Linked DNA regions of Elephas maximus indicus. The protein of the gene in region 1 interacts with the protein of each later gene in a biochemical or structural test. Links are inferred from orthologs where the notes say so. Each region holds a gene or a part of one and is shown on either strand. Other genes may lie near its edges.

What was found. The genes of interacting proteins can lie anywhere in the genome.
Region 2: the proteins of TBP (region 1) and AHR form a complex in vitro, tested with the Homo sapiens proteins (2 studies listed by BioGRID). The link is inferred for Elephas maximus indicus from reciprocal best matches to the Homo sapiens genes TBP and AHR.
Region 3: the proteins of TBP (region 1) and GTF2E1 form a complex in vitro, tested with the Homo sapiens proteins (3 studies listed by BioGRID). The link is inferred for Elephas maximus indicus from reciprocal best matches to the Homo sapiens genes TBP and GTF2E1.

Annotation. Positions count from the first base shown.
Region 1 is NC_064819.1:243,766,763-243,775,231, forward strand, and holds the start of TBP (TATA-box-binding protein), read left to right. Parts: upstream 1-5,041; 5' UTR 5,042-5,140; intron 5,141-7,918; exon of another isoform or gene 7,919-7,923; 5' UTR 7,924-8,069; coding exon 8,070-8,123; intron 8,124-8,317; coding exon 8,318-8,469. UniProt on the Homo sapiens protein: The TFIID basal transcription factor complex plays a major role in the initiation of RNA polymerase II (Pol II)-dependent transcription.
Region 2 is NC_064826.1:78,123,278-78,130,913, forward strand, and holds the start of AHR (aryl hydrocarbon receptor), read left to right. Parts: upstream 1-4,205; 5' UTR 4,206-4,868; coding exon 4,869-4,933; intron 4,934-7,636. UniProt on the Homo sapiens protein: Ligand-activated transcription factor that enables cells to adapt to changing conditions by sensing compounds from the environment, diet, microbiome and cellular metabolism, and which plays important roles in development, immunity and cancer.
Region 3 is NC_064819.1:11,350,094-11,358,519, reverse strand, and holds the start of GTF2E1 (general transcription factor IIE subunit 1), read right to left. Parts: upstream 3,432-8,426; 5' UTR 3,273-3,431; intron 1-3,272. Other genes in the region: RABL3 (rab-like protein 3), read left to right, coding at 3,560-3,605, 8,286-8,377.

The DNA of each region.
Region 1 (8,469 bases):
TGACAGGGAACTTCCAGAAATTCAAGCCAGATTCAGAAAAGGTCATGGAATGAAGGATGTCATAACTAATGTCAGATGGATCTTGGCTGAAAGCAGAGAATACCAGAAAGATGTTTACCTGTGTTGTATTGACTATGTAAAGACATTCGACTGTGTGGATCATAACAAATTATGGACAACAATGCAAAGAATGGTAATTCCAGAATGCTTAATTGTGCTCATGCAGAGCCTGTACATTCCAGAACCCTGTTGGTGGATTGACACAGTGGCTGCAATAATGGGCTCAAACATAGCAATAATTGTGAGGATGGCACAGGATTGGGTAGTATTTCCGTCTATTGCACAGACCGACTTGATGGCACCCAACAACAATTGGTGGGAGTATAAATTAGTACAGCCACTTTTAAAACAGATTGGCATCACGTACAATGGTTGAAGATGCACAACTCTTATGACCCAGCACCTCTGATCCTGTGGGAATTCCCTAACCAGAAGACATGAGTGAGAATGTTCACACCGTCGTTGTTGTTGCTAGGTGCCATTGAGTAGGTTCCAACTCATACCGACCCTACGTACCACAGAGCTAAACACTGCCCGGTCCTGCGCCATGCTCACAATCGTTATGCTTGAGCCCATAATTGCAGCCACTGTAATCAATTCATCTCATTGAGGGTCTCCCTCTTTTTCGCTGACCCTCTACCAAGCATGATGTTCTTCTCCAGGGGCTGATCCTTCCTGACAACATGTCCAAAGTATGTGAGACGCAGTCTCATCATCCTTGAGTCTAAGGAACTTTCTGGCTGTACTTCTTCCAAGACACATTTGTTCACTCTTTTGGCAGTCCATGGTATATTCGATATTCTTTACCAACACTGCAATTGAAAGGCGTCAATTATTTGGTCTTCCTTATTCACTGTCCAGCTTTTGCATGCATATGATGCAATTGAAAATACCATGGCTTGGGTCAGGCACACCTTAGTCTTCAATGTGACATCTTTGCTTTTCAACACTTTAAAGAGCTGTTTTTGAGCAGATTTGCCCAATGCACTGTGTCTTTTGATTTGTCAACTGCTGCTTCCATGGGTGTTGGTTGTGGCTTCAAGTAAAATGAAATCCTTGACATTTTCAACCTTTTCCCCATTTATCAGGATGTTGCTTATTGGTCCAGTTGTGAGGATTTTTGTTTTCTTTATGTTGAGGTGTAATCCATACTGAAGGCTTTAGTCTTTGATCTTCATCAGTAAGTGCTTCAAGTCCTCTTCACTTTCAGCAAGCAAAGTTGTGTTATCTGCATATCACAGGTTGTTAATGAGTCTTCCTCCAATCCTGATGCCTGGTTCCTCTTCACATAGTCCAGCTTCTGAGATTATTTGCTCAGCATACAGATTGAATAGGTATGGTGAAAGGACACAACCCCGATGCACACCTTTCCTGACTTTAAACCACACAATATCTCATTGTTCTGTTCAAACAACTGCCTTTCAATCTATGTACAGATTCCTCATGAGCACAATCAAGTGTTCTGGAATTCCCACTCTTCGCAATTTTATCCATAATTTGCTGTGATTCACACAGTTCAATGCCTTTGCATAGTCAATAAAACACAGGTAGACATCTTTCTGATACTCTCTGCTTTCAGCCAGAATCCATCTGACATCAGCAACGACATCCCTGGTTCCATGTCCTCTTCTGAAAAATCTGAACCTGGCTTGAATTTCTGGAAGTTCCCTGTCAATGTACTGCTACAGCCACTTTTAAATGATATTCAGCAAAATTTTACTTACATGTGATATTAATGATATTGTTCCATAATTTCCACATTCGGTTGGATCACCTTTCTTGGGAATAGGCATAAATATGGATCTCTTCCAGTCAGTTAGCCAGGTAGTTGTCTTCCAAATTTCTTAGTATAGATTCATGAGCACTCCAGTGCTGCATCTATTTGTTGAAACATCTGAATTGGTATTCTGTCAATTCCTGGAGCCTTGTTTTCTCCAATTCCTTTAGTACAGCTTGGACCTCTTCCTTCAGTAACATCAGTTCCTGATTATATGCTACCTCCAGAATGATTGAATATCAACGAATTCTTTTTGGTATAGTGACTATGCATATTCCTTCCATCTTCTTTTGATGCTTCCTGCATCATTTAATATTTTTCCTGTAGAATCCTTCAATACTGCAACTCGAGATTGGAATTTTTTCTTCAGATCTTTCAGCTTGAGAAATGCCAAGCCGGTTCTTCCCTTCTGGTTTTCTATCTCCAGGTCTTTGCACATGTCATTATAATACTTGACTTTGTGTTCTCAAGCACCGCTTTGAAATCTTCTGTTATACTTCATCATTTTTTCCATTTGCTTCAGCTACTTGATGTTCAAGAGCAAGTTTCAGAGTCTCTTCTGACATCCATTTGGTCTTTTCTTTCTTTTCTGTCTTTTTAGTGACACTCGCATTCTTCATGTGTGATGTCCTTGATGTCACTCCACAACTCATCTGGTCTTTGGTCATTAGTGTTCAAAGCATCAAGTTTATTCTTGAGATGGTCTCTATATTCAGGTGGGATATACTCAAGGCCCTACTTTGGCTCACATGGACTTGTTCTAATTTTCTTCAGCTTCAACTTAAACTTGCATATGAGCAAGTGATGGTGTGTTCCACAGTTGGCCCCTGGCCTCGTTCTGACTGATGATATTGAGCTTTTCCATTGTCTCTTTCCACAGATGTAGTTGATCTGATTCCTGTGTATTTCATCAGGCGATGTCCATTGTAGAGTTGTCATTTATGTTGTTGAAAAAAATATTTGCAATGAAGAAGTTGTTTCTGTTGCAAAATTCTATCATGGGATCTCCAGAGTCATTTCTATCATCAAGGGCATATTTTCCAACTATCGACTCTTCTTTGTTTTCAGCTTTCTCATTCCAATCGCCAGTAATTATCAATGCATCCTGGTTACATGTTTGATCAATTTCAGACTGCAGAAGTTAGTAAAAATCTTCAATTTCTTCATCTTTGGCCTTAGTGATTGGTGCATAAATTTGAACAATAATCGTATTAACTGGTCTTCCTTGTAGGCGTATGGATATTATCCTATCACTAACAGAATTGTACTTCAGGATAGATCTTGAAATATTCTTTTTGATGTTGAATGCAATGCCATTCCTCTTCAAGTTGTCATTCCCGGCATAGTCAACCACATGATTGTCTGGTTTAAAATAGCCAAAACCAGTCCATTTCAGCTCAGTAATGCCTAGGATTTTGATGTAGGTGGATTCCATTTAATTTTTGACGACTTCCAATTTTCCTAGATTCATCCTTTGTGCATTCCACATTCCAATTATTAATGAATGTTTCCGGCTGTTTCTTCTCATTTTGATTCATGCCACATCAGCAAGTGAAGGTCCGGAAAGCTTGACTCCATCCATGTCATTAAGGTCGACTCTACTTTGAGGAGGCAGCTCTTCCCCAGTCATCTTTTGAGTGCCTTCCAACCTGAGGGGCTCATCTTCTGGGAGTGTATCAGACAGTGTTCCACTGCTCTTCATAAGGTTTTCACTGGGTAATTTTTTTCAGCAGTAGATCGCCAGGTTCTTCCTAGTCTTATTCTGGAAGCTCAGCTGAAACCTGTCTGCTATGGGTGACCCTGCTGGCTTTTGAATACCGGTGACATAGCTTCTAGCATCACAGCAACACGCAAGCCCCCACAGTACGACAAACTGACAGACCCGTGTGGGCTACTAGACACAGATACAGGTAATTTTGGAATCAGAAAAGACTTTTAGAATGTACTTATTTAATTAAAACCTTCCCATATTAAAAAAATTTTATATTTTACTATAAACAAAGGATAAAAAGTCCATCAAAAACCTGTTGCTGTTGAGTCAGTTCCAACTCATAGCGATCCTATACGACAGAGAAGAACTGCCCCAGAGGGTTTCCAAGGAGTGGGTGGTGGATTCAAACTGCCTACATTTTGGTTAGCAGTCATAGATCTCTACCACCATGTCAGCACGGCTTCATAACAAAGGATAAATCAAATGATTTTATTGGTGGTTATGGACAGAGAAATACTATAGTTAGGACTCTCAAAATGCTAACACGTGCCAGGTACCGCGATGGTTTAGAAAAAAAAAAAAGATGCATTTCCTATCCTTAAGAAGCTTACACACTTATGATAATACAAAATATAAAGGAAGCACATAGGCAAGATCAATCAGCACAAGGTATGATTGTGACTAAACGAACGGTAGAAGGGAGAAAGCAAGGTAGGCTGGAGTCTGATCAAGCACCAGGAAGAAACAGGCTAAAAAACAACTACCAAAAGTCTCTTACTGACAAATATGAAAAGATTGCATAAGATGACATTGCCATCAAGTTGATTCTGACTCATAGTGACCCTATATGACAGAGTAGAACTGCCCCCATAGGGTTTCCTAGGGTGTAAATCTTTATGGGAGAAAGGCTGCCGTATCTTTCTCCTATGGAGTGTTTGGTGGGTTTGAACCCCCAACCTTTTGGCTAGCTGCCAAGCGCTTAACCACTGTATCATCAGAGCTCCTAAGATGAGAGTATCAGAACTAAAATTACAGTTGAATTTGTAAATAAGGGCTGTTTTTTCCTGTCATTCTATATGTTTAAGGAAGATCCTCTAACAACAGCGAGTGCTTGCCATGCCCCAGGTACTGCTCATGGATTGACTTAATTCGCCTCAAAACATCCGCACAGGTTAGACCTAGTAGCATCCCACTTTACGAAGAAGAAACCGAGGCAGAAAAGTCATGTAACTTGCTTAAGGTCACACAGCTAGCTAGTTGAAGAAAAAAAATCAACATTTAAAAATCAATGATTTTCCCACATCTGGCAATGACCAATCAGGAAAGTTCAGGTAAAGCGGCCCCGCCCCAGAATCCCCGAAGAGCTCTTGGTCCCAGGGCAACAAACGGAAGTGACGTAAGGCCCACAATTCCCATGGCCGCCGCTCCTGCCTGAGTAGCTCGTTGAAGCCGAGCGCAGAGCTGGCGGAAGTGACATCATCGGCGCGCGCGGAGTTCGGTAGTATCGGTCAGGGTAGCCGTGGCGGGCGCCTGGGCCGCCTGCGGCTGAGCTTGTTCCTGCGGGGCGATGGTGGTCACTGCAGGGACTCCAGGTAGTAGCCTTCCACGTCCCCGCTTTTCCTGTTCTCTGGGAGCTGTGGGTGCGGGATGCTGGGTCTCGCGCAGAGGCGGCGGCCACAGCGAACTGTCGGGCGATGGCGGACCGGGCGCGGAGGGACGCAGGCCCCGCGCGGATGCTGCCCCGGCTGCCGCCCCCCGAGCAGGCGTGACCGACGGCGGCTCCCAGTCGTGCGGGCCCGGGGCGCCTGGAGGGGCGCGGGGCGCCTGGAGGGCCCGGGGCGAAGAGCGAAGACCTGCCGTTTCCCGGTCTGCATCCGCCGCTCCTCGGGTGTAGGTTGCCGGGCCCTGAGCCGTTTGGCTACCGGTAGGGGTGGTTCCGTTAGGCAGTTGTGCTTGGGACATTCTAACGTTTGTCGGAGGCCCGAGACTTGCGATGTAAACGCACACTACTTTATTCACAAGGCCGACATCCCTGGGCTCAGGCCAGCGTGGTTTTCCAGTTTGAGACTTCGGGTAGGCTTCTCTCTGAAAAGAAGCCTCTTATACGTTATGCTTGATTGAGTTATGCAGACACGAGCAGGCTCCGCAGAACTATAATCGGTCTCTTCCCTCATCAGTGATTGCCTTCAAAAGCTATCGAATTTGATGCTTCCATTTCCACAAGATTAAGACGCTTCTCTAAATATAAGATAGTGCAGAGATAACGATGCCCTTATGATGACTGGGTGGGGAAGTGCCATCATGGGAGTGACATTTGCTCTGATGTTATGACATGAAGCCCCCAACCTATCTCCTTAGGTTTCTTCTTCAGACTTAGTTTGCCAAAAGGGGCCTGGAGCCACCAATATTATGGACAAATTTCTAGGTCGTCGTGTTTATGAATGCTTTAAATCCTACTCCCTTAACCTCTTGCCTCAACCACACCAACGAGCCCTTAAACTGAACTTCAGCCTTCAGTTTTGCTCCCAGGATTCACCCACACTTACCAGGGAGCCCTTCTAAACAGATCTGCCCAGGCTGCATTTTAGAATCCTGTAACCACTCTTATTGCCTGTATTGTAATGTCTAGAACTCTTGGCACTGTGGCCCTAACTATATTTGCTGTCACAGCTCCTGCAGCTGCTTTTCACTCAACCATACTCAGCTCTTGTTGCTGCATATTGCATGCTCTCTTGTCATGTCTTTGTGCCTGACCTTCCTTTTTCCTAAAATGCTGAGTTGTAAATTCTTATTCACCTTGCTAGACCCAAATCAGATGGTCCCTGCTTTGTGAAAACACTATCTCCAGAGTGACTGGCAGTTAGCCTGTCTTGTCTTGTCTTCCATAGTGTGCGTGCGTCCCCTTGTTGGCCTGCAATTACGCAGTGTGAATAGCGTGTGCATCCCCTCGTTCACCTGCGATTGTGCACTGAATGTACAGCATGTGCGCATCTCCTTGTTCACCTGGGATTGCACACTGAGTGTACAGTGCGTGCAAAGACAAAGATACTGATCTCTGCGCTCCGGGAGCTTAGCTGGTGTGTAGCTTCTGCTAGAGCACTTGATGCATTTTGCAGTGATCGTGTGTATGCCCTTTCAGTTGAACTCTTTGGTGCCTCTCCATCTTTATATCTGCAGTTCTTATGTTATTGCTATTATAGGATAACAATGTTGAGAAAATTCTATTTTTTTTTCTCTCTCTGATATATTTTTTAAAGGACGGTTTTTAAATTCTAACTTTATTAAGGTTTTGTTTGGTCTGTTTTTCAGTGATGAGTTGGTAGGATATGAGATCTTTTTTTCTTCTCAAAGAGATTGTTAGGTTCTTTCATTTGCTCCACAGACATCTGAGTGCCTGCTCTCAGGCAGGCTTAGGCTCAGAGTGCAGGTGGTTCTGGTTGTGTGACTCACGCCTTTGAGAGCTGTCAGTTCTGCGTCGGGTGTCTTATTAGATGGTGATGAGTATCTGAACTGAACTCTCGGAGGAACTACTAGCACTCATCCCTCAGTTCTGGAGGGTAACTGGATGCTGCTCTGGATGTGCTGATCCAGTCCAGCAGTCCTGTGTTAATTCACTTAGCTCCCATGGCAGCCCTGAGCAAGCTTCAGGTCCCTCTGAGCTGAACAGAACAGATCTTCCACCAGTCTTGGTTCTTTCCTCTAAGAGTGTGGCAAGTGTATAGCCAGTAAAGAGATGATAATTTTTTAGAAGCCAGATATAGGTACAGTTTACATCCTGCACTTACGTGTTCTTAAGGGGTAAGGTTATTATGTTTACAAGAAGACTATGTTTTATATATCTTTGTACAGCTTCTGTCACAGCCCTTATTCAAGTAGGAGCTCAATAATGATTACACTAAAATGTATTTATCCAACTCAGTATTTATGCCCAGGGCATTGGGGAAGATAAAACTGAGTGGAATACTTAAAAACCTGAATTTGGTCTGACAATGCTGTGTGTACCGTGCTTAGTAAATGATTGTGGACTGATACTACACTTTGCTCAGGAATTCATTTTCTCTGTTTTTTCCCTAAAAGTTTTTAACGGTTGTTATGACACCTTAATTTTGAACAACATCAGAGTATTAACCTAAAAATGTAACAAATCAATTCAATAAAGATTGATATAAAGCTTTTGGTAAGTTTGCAGTCACAGGAAACGTGGAAGGATTAGGCTCCAGGATTATAAGACAAAAAGAAATGTATTCCAAAATCACTTGGTTGGTTGATTGGTTGGTTTTTCTGTTATCTGCTTTTTTATAAGCATGATCCTGGCTTGTAGTACTATATAGCTCACCTGTGTTCTCACTCTAAACTTCACACTTTTTCAGAGTAGCATCACCTTGTTGGTGCGCGTGAAGATAATAACTCAGAGAGTGAAGGAAGTTCCTGAGAAGACTGTGCTGGTGATGCTCTCAGGAGAAGACTGAGTGCTGAGAGCAGGTCAGCACAGGTACTTCTGGTCCGCCAAGAAGTGACACCATGGATCAGAACAACAGCCTCCCGCCATATGCCCAGGGCCTGGCTTCCCCGCAGGTACCACAGCAAAGAGAGGGTGCATGGAAGGGGCAGGCTGTGAAGACCAGGGGCCCCTCCTTCACCCCCCTCACACACCAAGAGCCTGTTGGTACTGGAAGGGTCTCTGCACATTCTCACCTGCAGTTCCACCTGGGCGAGCCCCACAGACACCAAACACCAGCTAGCCTGACCCCCTTTCTCTGCTTCTGTAGGGTGCCATGACCCCTGGGATCCCAATCTTCAGCCCTATGATGCCGTATGGCACTGGCCTGACACCACAGCCCATTCAGAGCACCAACAGCCTGTCCATCTTGGAAGAGCAGCGGCAGCAGCAGCAACAGCAGCAGCAGCAGCAGCAACAGCA
Region 2 (7,636 bases), on another chromosome or scaffold:
CAATGACTGTGTGTATTCCTTCCATCTGCTTTTGATGATTCCTGCATTGTTCAATATTTTGCACATAGAATCCTTCAAAATTGCAATTTAAGGTTTGAATTTTTTCTTCAGTTCTTTCAGCTTGAGAAATGACAAGAATGTTCATCCCTTTTGGTTTTCTAACTCCAAGTCTTTGCACATTTTATAATATTTTACTTTGTCTTTTTGAGCTGCCCTTTGACATCTTCTCCTCAGCTCTTTTACTTCACTGTTTCTTCCATCCACTTTAGCTACTCTATGTTCAAGAGCAAGTTCAAGAGTCTCTTCTGACATCCATTTTGGTCTTTTCTTTCTTTCCTGTCTTTTTTATGACCTTTTGCTTTTTTCATGCAGGATGTCCTTGATGTCATCTCACAACTTGTCTGGTGTTTGGTCATTAGTGTTCAATGCATCAAGTCTATTCTTGAGATGGTCTCTATATTCAGGTGGGATAAACTCAAAGTCATACTCTGGCTCTCATAGACTTGTTTTAGTTTTTTTCGAGTTCAACTTGAACTTGCATATGAGCAATAGATGGCCTATTCCACAGTCGGCCCCTGGCTTTGTTCTGACAGATGATATTGAGCTTTTCCATCATTTCTTTCCACAGATGTAGTCAATATGATTCCTGTGTTTTCCATCTGGTGAAGTTCATGTGTAAAGTAGCCATTTATGTTGCTGAAAAAATATATTTGCAATCAAGAAGTCATTGGTCTTGCAAAATTCTATCATGGGATCTCCAGTGTCACTTCTATTACCATAGCCATATTTTCCAACTACTGACCCTCCTTTGTTTCCAACTTTTGCATTTCAATTTCCAGTAGTTATCAATGCATCTTGATTGCATGTTTGATCAATTTCAGTCTGCAGAAGTTGGTAAAAATCTTCAATTTCCATCTTTGGCATTAGCGGTTGGTGGGTAAATTTGAATAATAGTCGTATTAACTGGTCTCCCTTGTAGGCGTGTGGATATTATCCTATCACTGACAGCATTTTACTTCAGGATAGATCTTGAAATGTTCTCTTTAATGACGACTGTGATGGTATTCCTCTTTGTCATTCCTGGCATAGTAGACCATATGATTATCTGATTCAAAATGGCCAATACCATTCATTTCAGCTCACTAACGTCTAGGATTGCAATGTTATGTGTCCCATTTCATTTCTGACGACTTCCAGTTTTACTAGATTCATACTCCACACATTCCACATTTGGATTATTAATGGATGTTTACAGCTGTTTCTTCTGAGTCATGCCATTTCAGCAAATGAAGGTCCCAAAAGCTTGTCTCCACTCACATCATGAAGGTCGATTCTACTTTGAGGCGGCAGCTCTTCCTCAGTCATATTTTGAGTGCCTACCAACCTGAGGGGCTCATCTTCTGGCACTATATCAAACAATGTTCTGCTGCTATTCATATGGTTTTCACTGCTCAATTTTTTTCAGAAGCAGACTGCCAGGTCCTTCTTCCCAGTCTGTCTTAGTCTGGAAGCTCCACCGAAACCTGTCCACCAAGGGTGACCCTGCTGGTATTTGAAATACCGGTAGGAAAGCTTCCAGTATCACCATAACATTCAAGCCACCACAATACAACAAACTGACAGATGCATCAGTTTCTTTAGTGAGGTCAAATATGCCTATTAGACCACAGAACCATATATTTCTCCATCACAATATTTATGACAGTATGTCCTAATTCATTGAGAGCATAATTCATTTTTCTTAGTCACTTAGTTATCTAGTGCTGCTATACCACAATTGGATGGCTTTAACAAACAGAAGTCTATTTTTTCACAGTAAAGTAGGCTAAAAGTCCAAATTCAGGGTGTCAGCTCCAGGGGAAGGCTTTCTCTCTCTGTCAGCCTTCTCATCAATGTTCCCCCAGACTAGAAGCTTCTTTGCGCAGGGACCCCAGATCCAAAGGACGTGCTCTGCTCCCAGCACCTCCTTCTTGGTGGTATGAAGTCCCCCTGTCTCTCTGCTTGCTTCTTTATTTTATATCTCAAGAGATTGCCTCAAGACAAAATCCAATCTTGTAGGTTGAGTCCTGCTTCACTAACACAACTGCCACCCGTGCTCCCTCATTAACATCATAGAGGCAGGATTTACAACATATAGGAAAATCACAATTGGGTCCAGCCCAATCGATACACACATTTTTGGGGGGGAAATAATTCAATCTAAAGGAGAGACAGTCACCCATTGTCTCTCCTTTACTAGCACAATTCCTGGCACATAGTGAAAAGGAAAAAAAAATTTTTTTTTCTTTTCACAATTCCTGGCACATAGTAGGTACCCCAAAAATATCTGCTGAATAAATTAATGTATGATAATCAGCCAAGGAATCCTGAATGATGTGGCATTTAAGCTGGGCTCTGTCAATTTGGTATTATTGGAGAATAAGGTGGAGGGAGATGATAAGGGACATTGTGAAGAACAAACTTTAACTGTATCTGTTGAAAGATTTAGATATAGGTGGTAAGGGAGTTGAAGATGATTCCTAAGTTGATCTGAAGAATGTATCTGGAAACTGGTTGAACCGCAACAGGGTGAGATTTCAATTAAAGAAAATGATGAGTTCAATTTTTTGTTGCACTGAATTTGGGATAAGCTTACCAGGTGGGAATGGCTTGAAGGCATTTTGAAATGTAGAAGTGGATCTGATGTGAGGCAGCATCTAGGCATTTTAATCTGGATGTCCTTCTGCTCCTGACAAGCGAACAACTCCTTTGTCTGTGTTCACTGTCTTAGTTAACTGCACCCACAGAAACAGTCAGAAATCTTGAGGCCACCCTAGATTGTTTTCTCTCTCCCCTAGTGTCTTAACCACTTCTACCATCATCTATATTTTCTCTCTTCTCTCCATTGCCACAGCTGCTTCCCTGGTTCATTTCAACAACTTTCTAACTACTCTCCCCAAATCCAGTCTTTGATAAACTGTTTATCAAGTCTTTATGATTTGATCCCAAACTTCCTGAACTTCACCTTCAGCTGCTTTTCCTTGTTCCGACATACCAAAAGCAACCAAACCAAACCCGTTGCCTACATGTCGATTCTGACTCATGGCAAACGCATGTGTTTCAAAGTAGAACTGCTCAATAGGGTTTTCTTGGCTATGAGTCAGAATCAACTTGATGGTAACAAGCTTCTTTTTGTTTTTTAATTTTTTACAGTAGCAGTTCACCAGGCCTTTCTTCAGTAGAGCAGCTGGGTGAGTTGGAACTGCCAACCTTTAGGTTAGCAGCCAACTGTGATCTGCTTGAGCTTCCCAAGCACCTTCTAATCATACCAGACACCTTCTATTCTTAAACACCTCCTGTCCTAAGTGCTTCCCTTCTTCCTAGCTTCCTTCTTTCCACTAAGGGATAACAAAGTTTTACTGAGGAAAGGACATTATACTGCCTAGCCTGAGAGACAAATTAAAAAATAAAAAAGTCCAAGGAAACTCTTAGCCTCTAAGTCCCAACTTAAATGTGGCCTCCTGAAGCTTTCCCCTCTGGGAAAATTTAGATAGTCCTATTGGGTTATCTCTTCTAGTTTACTGAAATTCTTAGCCCAAAGTTAGCTGTCTTTCCATAAATGAAGTTTACTATTTGGCATATTTAATCTTGAGACCATGACTGCCCGAAGAAGGAACAACTCTTCCTTTGAAGAGGTACAGCCAGAATTCTCCTTAGAAGCAAAGATAACCAAGACTTCTTTCATGTACTTTGGACATGTAATCAGGAGGGACCAGTCCCTGGAGAAAGACATCATGCTTGGTAGAGGGTGAGCAAAAAGACAAAGACCCTCAACCAGACAGACTGAAGTGGCTGCAAAAATGGACTCAAACATAGCGAGGGTCATGAGAATGGCACAGGATTGGGTAGTGTTGCATTCTACTGTAGGCAGGGTCCCTATGCGTCAGAATCCACTCAAGGGCACATAACAACAATAATTCTTGAGACAGTCTAGCTACAAACAGTTTGACTACACCTTATTTGTTCTCACACCTCTTCCTGCGCTGGAGAGATGTATCCACAAAGGAATACTCCCTTTGACCTCACGAAGATGGCTACTGGAGAGCATCGTTACGTTCTACGTCATCACGTGCTGGGAGGAGGGTGGAGCCCTCAAGGGAGACGGAGTGAAGGGGCGGGTCCAAAAGGATGGGGCGGGGCTCTTCTGGGCGGGGCGGGCCCGTCAGGGGTCGGGGGCGATTCTGCTATTCGGCCGGCGCGTTCGGCGGCGGGAGGCAGTTCAGGGAGAGTCTACTCAAAGCTCGTCCCGAGAGTTTACCTAGGAACGAGGCCCAGATTTGAGGCAGCCGCATAGCCGAGCGGAAGCGGGTTGCACCCAGGACTGGCGGCCGGCTCCCGAGCTCCGCGGGCGGGAAGCACCTAGGAGCGGGGAAGCCCCGGGAGCAGCGCGGCGGCGCCTCCCTCACCCAGGGGGCCGCCGCGCCGGTCACGGGGCGCCGCACCACCGAGCGCAACCCAGGCCGGCGCTCCAACCTGCCGGCTCAGGCTCCTCCTCCGTCTGCCGCCTCACCTGCAGGCAGCGCCGCGCCGCCTCCGCCGGTGTAGACGGCACCTGCGTCCCCTCGCTAGCAGGTCTCCGCCGCTCTGCCCCCGGCGCCAAACACGGGCGCCCCCGGCCACGGGTTGTCTGGACGGGCCGGGGCTGCGGGAGGCGAGGCGCAGGGGGCGCAGCGCCCTCGCCACCGCGCAGGGGAGGACGCAGGTGGAGCGGGCGCGGCTTCACGGAACCCGGCGCCGGCCGCCTGGCAGCCCGCCCGCCCGCCGGCCTGCCTGCCATCGTCCCGGCCGCCGCCGGGCCCCAGGGACCGGGCCGCCTCACACCGGGCACCATGAACAGCAGCAGCGCCAACATCACCTACGCCAGTCGCAAGCGGCGGAAACCGGTGCAGAAAACGTGAGTGTCCGGAGCGGCGTCCTCGGTGCGGGGACTGGGTGCCGGTGCACGCGGGTGCGGGTCCTACCGTGGTGGCGGGAGGCGGCCCCACCACGCCCCTCAGTCCCCGCGTTCGGGGAGATTAGGTCTATTCCCGACACAGCCCATGGAATCAAGATTTGGTTGGTCGAGAGACCGAGGGCTTGGATTTTTTCTGTATTACACTTGAAGGATCCCCCCTACCCACCCTGTCACCAGCGCACACGCACCCACTTACACTCCCACACCTTTGCAGCTCTTGTTCTCTTTTCTGTGGTCCCAATTTGTTGACAGTTTTGGCCAGCCCCTTGGTGCTGGCGTATTAGCTAACATTAGTCTGTCTTGGAATACCCTTAGACTTTTAATATCCACATCAGTTAGCTTAGAGGACTGTCATAATTCTCGGAGGAGACTGAGAGCTTGGTAGGATGAAAAGTTTTGAAAGAGGCAAGCACGTGCGGTTTTGAAGAAAGGGGCTGAGTGTTTCTGAAGGCATTTTTTTGAGCTAGAGCAACTGGTGTTCTGTTGCACTCTTACGTCCAACGTGTCTAGATCGGTAGTGTAAAGGAATAGTAGCAGGTGTGAGTGAGTGTAGTGGACAGATACAGTGGGGGATTTGTAGTCTCAGTAATCTTTTGAGGAAACTTTCTCATTTTTGTGGTGGCTTGGGGCTCTATAAAAGATTTGAAACTAGATTTATCGAGGGAGACGTTTTCTTGGCATCTTCCTCTAATTTCCTTTCTTCCCTACTTCAAAGTTTTGTCAATTCTAGCAGAGTGATTCCAAATTTGGAGTTTTTGTTTAGGTGGAATATTTGTATGAGATGGCAAATACTTTAGAACAGTTTTTTTCCAGGAAAGAAAAATGTATGCTTGAGACAGATTTCCTGTTGTGATTTGTATGTCTTCATGTGTTTACTCCTAATTATTATCTCTGAGTTCCTTGAAATCACCTACATCTTTCAAATTTTCCTAGACAGTTTTAAAGACATATTAAAAATCTATTCAGCGAATCAGAGCACATTTGTTTAAAACTTGACTTAAGAACCAAAATAAATAAATAAATAACACTTCTAGGGTTTATATTTAAAAAGTTGTTGGTTGGAAAGTTTCATTAATTTATAGACTTTTAATTTCCATTCAGATTTCAGCGATGATTTAAAAAATAACCCAGTGCCGTCGTGTCGATTCCGACTCATAGCGACTCTATAGGACAGAGTAGAACTGCTCCATAGGGTTTCCAAGGAGCGCTTGGCGGATTCGAACTGGCGACCCTTTGGTTAACAGCGGTAGCACTTAACCACTACGCCACCCAGCGATGATAGTTCCTCAAATCTAGATGTATAAATTGGCATTCAGAGGATATTAGACCATTTTGTAAATACTCTTTGTTTAAAATTTTGAAAGTGTTACCTATAGTGTGTCTCATTTTAAGAATATTGCCTAGTCAGCACTTTTCTGTCTTGGGAGCTCTGCAGCATTGTTACAATATTTGACATTTTGTAGAATGGTTTCTTCTATAAAAATGTATTTGTTTAATTTGATGTTGTCCTTGATAGTTAAAATTGGGAGGCACCCAGAATGCCTGTTCTCCATAGCTGCTAATACAGTAGCATGCTGAGCATTGTATATAATAAAGGCATCGTGAGTTTTATTTGTGTGATCTGAAAAGGTGACAGCCTCACTGTTGGGTTTTTAAGATATTGAGCTTCAGTCAGTGTGTTACCCAGGGACCTAGGTAACTTTTTTTCCCCTCCTACTTTTAATTAAATGCTTTAGTTTGTGTTCATTATAAAATGTAATGTTTTTGGTTTCTAGTTAATGTTTTGTTAATGATCTTTTCTTTTAGTGTGTTAAATTTTCCTTTTACTTACGTAAAATGTACCTTTTATTGTAGTATTTTAATATTTTAGTCTACTTCCTAAGGCTTTAATATACATTATTGAATTAGTTCTCATATTACAATGTAACTAAAGCATTTTTCTCATATACCCTCATTTTATATTATCAGGTGGTGTAGATGTTTATCATGCCTTTACTGAGTACCGTGCATTGCTTCTGATTGTATAAATGCCTTATAGTGACACCAAATTGCTCTATAAGAAAAGACTAGCGCTGGTGTTTAAATAGTAAAATGAAATTGTTTATAAAACATTTTTACCAGAATAAAAAATGGTTAACTCAGTTAAAGTGAATATTGACCTTATGAATGAGGTCATTAAACCTAATATTAAGTTTAATACGAGTTTTTTAGTTAAATTACTACTTTGTGGATAATGGGCCTTGAAACATGCCAACATATTCACAGGAGAAATTCATCTTGTTTGATCTAAAAATGTTATTCACATCTCTTTAACTTGATCCCTTAAGTGATTGATATTTTACTTACAGAGAAAATACATTGTAGCATAAGTGTAAGACTGTTGAAAAGACAACCATTTAAATATACATTTTCATACAATTTTGGAATAAAGTAGGTGACATAATTTTAACCTGAAGCTCTTCTAGACAGTTGAATTTATTAAACAAAGTAAACTCCCTCTAGTGGCAGGTCTGACACTGAAAATTATTAGGGGAAATAAATTTTAAATGTGCTAAATCTAATCCTACTAATATAACTTGGAAACCCTGGTGGCATAGTGCTTAAGTGCTACGGCTGCTAACCAAAGGGTGGGCAGTTCGAAAC
Region 3 (8,426 bases), about 230 Mb from region 1:
GCCAGATTGGGCATCACACTAATTTTTAAAGCTCTTTAGGTGACTCTAATGTGCGGCAAGTCATGGCCACTGGTCCAGACAAACTCGGGACCTGGCCATTACACAGGCTGCCAGTGCACACCTGTACTTAACACTCACTACTCAGCCTGCTTCCTTCTGCCTGAAACACCCCCGCTCCCGCCAGAAAATTCTCAGCTTCAGGGTCTTCAAACATAAAAAGTAGTTAACAGTTCCGTCCTCATAGGGGTGATGTACTGGATTAAATAATTCATATAAAGTGCTCTGCTTTCAGGGTTGGCACCATAAAGGGAGCTGGATTAAGTCCTGGCATCATAATAAAACACCAGTTGCCATCCAGTTGATTTGGACTCATGGCAACCCAATGTGTGTCAGAGCAGAACTGTGCTCTACAGGGTTATCAATGGATGATTTTTTGGAAGTAGATTGCCAGGCCTTTCTTCCAAGCTGCCTCTGGGTAGACTTGAACCTCCAACCTTTCAATTAGCAGCTGAGCGTCTTAACCATCTGCACCACCCTGGGACTCCAGCATTCATTAATAAGACTCCCTATGTAGAAAAGAGACTCTTGCAGCAACATGAGGACTTGACTGAAGTGAGGGAAGGTGCAGGCACTCTGGCAGAATTATGAGCTACAGTAACCAAACCCAAACTAAGGAAGAACACAAAACTGCAAGAAAAGGACAGGATAAATGAAATCTATTAGGGAAATAAAGTCAAAAGAACCTAACAATATATTGGAAATTGGATATTAGAGGAGGAAAAGCTAAAAATAGCTGTTTTGAGCCAGTGCAAAAAGGAAGAGAGAAGTACTACCATGAGATATAAGTAACGTCTGAAGAGGAGCAGGTCTGGAACGGATGAAGCCTTCATTTTAAATGCTGTCTCTGAGGAAATACCACCAGATATTCCTGTGAGGATGTCTAGCAGATAGCTGAACAAATGAAACTAGAGCTCAGGAAAGAAGCCAGGCTGGGCCACTGTACTCAAAATCTCTGCATTCTGAAATCCTCCTTCCCAACAAATTCTGCCTTCTTTCCTCCATCACTTCCACTTCCCCACTTCTGCAGAGTCTTCTACCATCTCTGGTAGCGTAGTGGTTTAAGAGCTAAGGCTACTAACCAAAAGGTCAGCAGTTTGAAGCCACTAGACACTCCTTGGAAACCCTATGGAGCAGTTCCACTCTGTCCTATCCGGTCGTTATGAGTCAGAATCAACTCAAGGGCAACAGCTTAGATCAGAGACCTCAAGCTGGCAGCCCACATACATTATTTGACCCAACGAATGTTTTGAAAAAAAATTCTGAATTACAGTAATCAACATTTTAAAATTATGAGATTTCACATAAGTTTTTACTTTCAGCCCCTCTTTAAAATACCTGAGGAAAAAAAAAGAGACCACATTATCACAAGGAAACAAAACCCAAAAACCAAATCCACCACTGTCAAATCGATTTCGACTCACAGCGACCAGCTAAATACCAGTTGATACTTTCAGACAGGGAAGGGGCTTGGCTGGCCTCTAGAGACTTTTGAGTGTGGGACCTCTCAGAGTCAGCTTGTTTTTTCTCTTCGTCCTCGTAGTCCATCAGTCACTTCCAGCCTCACCTGTCTCCCTAGCTATAACTACCCCAGACACCCAAGGGCAATTTGGTTTTGTTTTCTGTATTCCATGTGTTTCTGGTGGCACGATGGTTAAGCGTTCAGCTACTCGAAGGCTGGAAGTGTGAACCCATTCAGACTCCATGAGAGAAAGACCTGGCAATCTGCTCCTATAAAGATTACAGCCTGGGAAACCCTAAGTGGCAGTTTTACTCTGTCACACGGGGTTACTATGAGTTGAAATCGACTCGAGGGCACCTAACAACAGCATTCCAATCATGGAGTCCCTGGGTGGTGCAAACAGTAACGCACTCAGGTGCTAACCAAATGATTGGAGGTTCAAGTCCACCCAGAGGTACCTCAGAAGAAAGGCCTGGTAATTAAAAAAAAAAAAAAAAAAAAAAACCAAGCATTGGAAAACCCTGTGAAGTACAGTTCTAGTCCTACACACATGGGGTTGCCATGAGTTGGAATCAACTCAATGGTAACTGGTTTGGTTTTTTTGGTTTATTCCAATCATACAAATAGTTGAGTACCAGGCACAGAGCTGGAGAAACAAAGTTGAAAGATATGCACTTTCTGCCCTGTCCTTGTCAGCCTCATCTCCAGCCAAACTGGTATCTTCTCAATTTCATGAGCCACGCATGCTTTCTCCACTTCAGGGCCTTTTCACAAGCAGTTCCCTCTGCCCCCAAAGCTAAACCCAAACCTCTTTCTTTTACTCCTTCAAGTCTCAAATAACATTTCCTCAGAGAGGCCTTCCCAAATTCCCCATGGTTAAGTTAGGATGATCCCCTTTCACACGTTCCCATACCTCTCTCCCCCTTCTACTTAGCTGCACTCGACAGTCTTGTACTTTCTCTATGTCTATCTCTCCCAATCCCCAAATCAGTAAACTGAGAGCAGGCACTGTTTTATCATTGAATCCCCAGCACCCAGCACAGCTAGTGAAGTACTTCCATAAAACTTTCATTAGATCTCCTAGGCACGTGTTCTTCCAACATGCCCACCCTGTCAGCTTCCCAATTCACTTTTCCCACTCCTGTTTCCACAATGGAAAAGAACAGGCTACCGCCTACCCTCTTGTTAAACTTAAAATGGTTTTAAGCAGGAGTGACAGATCAAGTTCGCATTTTAAAAGATTACATTGACTAGAGGGTGGAGGGAAGGAAAAAGGGGAGGATGCGAGAGTTCTGTTAGACTATCTCAGTATACTGCTATTCATTCCAGTTCTAGAAGAACTGGGGTTCTACACATCTAGCTGCGATTTTCTCTGTTGCCATATTTCACCGCACTCTCCGCGCCCTCCATATGTAAACAGGCATATTGCAGCGAAACCTCCGGGCCCAGCTGCCCTCCTAGCGACCCGTTCAGTAACGCCTGCTCCTTCCCACTGTGAGACCCCAGGACCCCAAACTCCCAAACACTCTCCCAGTTGAGTCCAGTGGACATAACTCGGCGCAGCCATACCCGAGCTCGCACCCGGGCCACTCCAGGGTCAATGGTTCTTTGGCGGACCAAGAAGAGGACCAAATCAGGAGAGAAGCAAAGGAAAAGAGGATAGTTAAGACAGGAGGAATGGAAAGGAGGAGAAAGCCTGAAATGCCACGGCGGGCCAGGGAACCGGGAACAAGGAACTGGGAACGAGGTTTACCGAAGAGAATCCTCGAACAATCCTACTACAGCTTCCCTCAGCGCCTCAACTACCGGCTTAAAGGAGCACGCCACCTGCGCGACGACGAACACGCATTATTCCTGCGACCAGCTTTGGAGCTCGCATGCTGCATTTACCCAGGCCGGCCAATCAGCACAGTGAAACCTTCAATCAGGACGGTCACGCTCTGACTGGCCAATGAAATTTGAAGGCTCTGCCTTCCATGCTTAGCTCTGATTGGCCTAGAGTCCCGGAAGAGGCGTTAACCAACGGAAGGCAGTGGCAAGATGGCTTCCCTAGATCGGGTGAAGGTGCTGGTGTTGGGGGACTCAGGTGAGTGGTTCAGACCCATCTCTGGGGCTCCCGACACTTTTGAGTTATCTGATAACCGTCCCTCTTCACTGTTAACCCCCCAACTTCCTGGCTCTTCGGCCCGTGGATGAAGTAGTTCTCAAAGCCTAAAGACTACATTTCCCAGAGGACTTTGCTCCGTTTGACTGTCTCCCGGGGTACGCTAGTTTAGAGCGTATTATCGATTCTTTTGTTTTGAAAGATACCAGATCTTGAGTATTGTACGGAAATTAGTACAAGCATGACCTCAAGGTACTCAGAACCCTATTCCAAGCGCTTTGCATATATTAACTGATTTAATCCTGAGAACAGCCCTATTAGTCCATTTTACAGATAGGAAAGTAAGGCAGAGAGATGTAAACGGCAAACTGGATTGAACGCCAAGCTATATTATGAAATGAAATATACGGTGGCCCTCCTGTTTTACTCTCAACGAGGCTTCTTGATTTCTTGTTCTAGTTTTTTCTTAATTGAAAACCTATTGTGTGCTGTTGTCGTTAGGTGCCGTCGAGTCTGCTCCGACTCATAGCGACCCTATGCACAATAGAAAGAAACACTGCCCGGTCCTGTGCCATCTTCACAATCGTTGTTAAGCTTGAACCCATTGTTGCAGCCACCTTGTCAATCCCTCTAATTGAGGGTCTTCCTCTATTTTGCTGACCCTCTACCAAGTATGATGTCCTTCTGCGGGGGCTGATCCCTCCTGTGTGCTAGGTTGTGAATAATAGAGAAATTAAGATAAAGGCCACATTTTGATGTAGCTAGGACTTAGTGGTGAGCCCAGATTTAATCTTAATATTAAAATTCTTTTGACACCTTGGACATTTGAGAACTAAAATTGAAGTCTGCATCCCGTCCCCCACCTCAGCTTTTCTTCACCACAACTCCTAGTCCCATACTCCTTAAGAACTTGGAAAAAATGCTTATCTTGTGTTTCCTAGATGTGCTTTTCTGAAGTTGACCTTTTGTGTGTGTGCTGTGAGTAAAGACACTGCCAGATGCTTGGAGGTAGAGAGGACATACCTCAAAGAGCTTGAAAACTAGTCTTACAGAAACTCTATATAGATTTGGAGGTGGGGGAAACGTTTTCACATTGCCTGAAGATTATTTGCATTGTCAGATATTTTACAGAGAGCATTCAATACTCCCCTAAGAAAGTTCCGGTAGGAAATTCTATGAGAATAAACCAATTTATGTCAGCTCCAGTTCTTCATGAAACTTTGAAGTAGTACTGAAGTTAATTTAATAGAGTGGCTTCATTTTCACAGATGAAGAAGGTAATGACATGAAGGGGCCCTGGCAAGAGTGTCACCACATTGGATTTAGGACTGCAATACAGAGCTGTTGGCAACAGTTCTGCATGACGTGTGAAGAACGGTGTTGTCTCTGTAGTCTGTATTTCTCTCTTTCTATTGCATCTAAAGAATCCTTCATGTTAAATACTGTTGAAACTAGTAGGTTGATTTTTTTTTTTTTAATACTTAAGTGCCAACTACATACCAGGCACTGTATTAGGTGCTAGAGTTTTAACTGTGAAATCAATGAAATACATTAACAGGGGTAGATTATATGCTGTGTAAAATGTGGAAAAGTAACCAGGCAATTAGTATGCTTTTTTTTCCCTGTCATAGTTTAGCTGAAAAACAGAAGACACAGCCTTGCCCACCAGGAAAGTGTTTAATCTTGTCACACATTCACTAACGTTAGACTACATGTGCAGAGTCAGTTATTGCCTTCATCAGTTCCCTTTTAACTGCAGTTTCCTATCTGACAGGTTAGAATATACCATTTATACTTTATCTGCCTTTGTATTCAAACTTCAAAGTTTATTTTTGAATAAAGGCTTATTCCCCCCATAAAATTTTGAGGATTTCACAAGCATATAAAGGAATGACTTGGAATTTAGAGACTTGCTTTGTACCCTATAGAGATATTTGATAATTTAGTAAAGTATCTTGAAAATCTCACCAACACATACATACTGTATTCTCTTTCTTCTTTCAGAGGTTCAGGGTGATTTTAATATATGACACCTACATTTGGAGCTGGCATCTATTTAATTATTTTTGGTTCTTTTTTTCTTGCCAGCAAGTTTAGTTCATTCTTTCGATCTACTTTAGTTCAAATCAGAACCTTCCAAATTTTTTAAAGAAATAAATAGTTGGCTACTGTTCCTAGCACTTCAACTGTTCTTACTATTTAGAGTTTTATCTAGTGTTAACTAAGATTTACCCACCAAAGCAGTTAATTTATGGAGAGCTATACGGTATTGCTGCAGAGAAATATTTACCCTGACACAATTAAGCAAAAACTAGAAGCTCAAGCCTTTTATTGAGCTGATAACTAAATGCCCAGATATGTGGCTCCAATATGAACAATATACCCTATAAAGTTTGTGAATATCAGTTGTAATGCAGTAAATACAAAGGCAAAGCTAGGCTTTTGAGTACTCAAAAATCTTAAATGTCTGTATGTAAATAAATAAATAAATAGGATAAAAGGAAACCTGGGAAAATGTTTGATTCCTTTACATGAGAGATAATGTCTCTAATATATATAAAAAAATATATATATAGATCATACAAATTGGCAGGAAGACTAAAACCTAGTAGATAAATGGGCAGAACACATCAGCAGATAATTCATTAAAGAGGAAAAACCACTGATTAGCAAAGATGAACAAAAACATATCTTTACCGGAACGTAAAGAAATGCAGACTAAAACAAGATGTCACTTCTTTTTCTCTCATCAAATTAACAGAGTTGAAAAAGCAACTACGTGACACTGCTGAGGTGGAACAAGACACGCAGCCTCCTGTGGCTAGTGGCAGCAACCAGATGGAAAGTGTTTGTCAGGATACATCAAGAACTTTAAATGTTCATTTCCTTTTACTCTTAAATTCACTTCTGGGGAGATATACGCAGAAATCTAATTTTAAACAAAAGTTTAAGCAGCAAAGATTTTCTGAGGATAGTGAAAAGTTCAAACAACCCTAAGTGTCTAATAATAAGGGAGTAGTTAAGTAAATTATTATGTCTACTTTCTGAAATACTATGGAGACATAAAAAATGTTTATAAAGATTTTGTAATAACATGGAAAAATGTAGTCACTAAGTAAATACTAATTAAGACCCTGTTCTGAGTACTGGAGATAAAAAGATGAGTAAAACAGCCACAAACCCCAAAAAGCTTAAAACTGAACAGAGTGAATAAAACCTATAAACAAACAAATGATATGTTTTAAGTGCTCTGTAGGAAAACATACAGGGTACAATGAAGACTCAGGATGTTGTGCTCAGCTCTACCTGTGTGGAGTCAGAAAAGACCACAATTGCAATAATACTGAGTCTTGAAAGATTAATTCACCAGGCCGATGGGGACAGGGAGTAGAATATTCCAGACAGAACAAGCTGTGTAAACGAAGTCTTAAAATGTTTTTATTTTATTTTGTTTATTATCGTGGTAAGTATACATGTAACAAAATATCTGACATTTCAGCAGTCTTCACGTACAATTCAGTGACAGGAATTACATTCATGCGATGCTGTTGTTTTAAGTACGCACTGTATGTATGACCACAATAACATGTTTATAGAAAAACCCTGGTTATGGGATTAGATAAACCTACACAGTAGTGGTCTTCAGGTGCTTTTGTCTTCGAGAAGACATAAGTGTCTTCTAGATTTTTTTGTAAATATAACTTTTTATAAAAATAAACATAAGCAAAAGGTCGATACTTGATAGCGCACATCAGAGGTGATCTAACTCTTCAGTACAACTAGTGACGCATAAAGATTCACCAGCTGTGCTTGGCATGCGGCGTTCCCAGGATGCTCTTAAATGAATGACTCCACCGACAGGTGTAGGAAGAGAGTTCATTCCCTTTTCTCATCATACAAATGTCAGAATGCTGCCGTTAGCCTTAGTAACCCCTGAGCCCAGGAGGCCTGAAAGAAGATAAAATATTGTCTAAGGTAAAGGACCAGAATGTAAAAGAGGGAGTAGAATTGTCTCCACCAAGTGGTTGGCTGACTTTTTTAAATCACTATATTAGAGAACTGGAGTGTCTAAATAGGAAATCGTGAAAGGTGAACCCCTGTCATTGACAGTGCTCAAGAACAGTCTGGAAGACCATCTAACCATCTAAGACCTGTGAAAGGGACCTCTAAATTGGTATTCAGGATGGAGATTACCTCTAAGATCTATTAAGATGTTATAATTCTAAAACAGGCTAATTAGGTGAAATCATTCAAAAGGAATGGTTTAGTTTACATGAAATTTCCCTTGACCATTGGTTTTCAAAAGGAAGCCTCTAAACAAGTAGCATCAGCATCACCTGGGAACTTGTTAAAAGTGCAGCATCTTGGTCCCCACCACAGACCTGCTGAATCAGAAACTTCCCGGGTGGGAACCAGCAAGGTCTGTTTTCACAAGCCCTCCAGGTGATTCTGCTGCATGCTGAATTTGAGGACCATTTCCCTCGACCATCTTTTTCACCTTGTTCATAAGGTTTATTGTATTGTTGATACAGTTTGAACACCCTTTTAACAGCCATGCTTTACGTCTCATTATTTTTGCACATTTCCTATCTTATTCATGCCAGAATAGATTTCAAGCATGCCTCTTACACTTACCTGAATAGAGTGTTGTATCTTTTACAGGTGTTGGCAAATCTTCACTAGTTCATCTCTTATGCCAAAATCAAGTGCTGGGAAATCCATCGTGGACTGTGGGCTGCTCAGTGGATGTCAGAGTATGTGCCTTTTATGTTTTGGTTTTTCAATAGTTATATTAAAGATGGT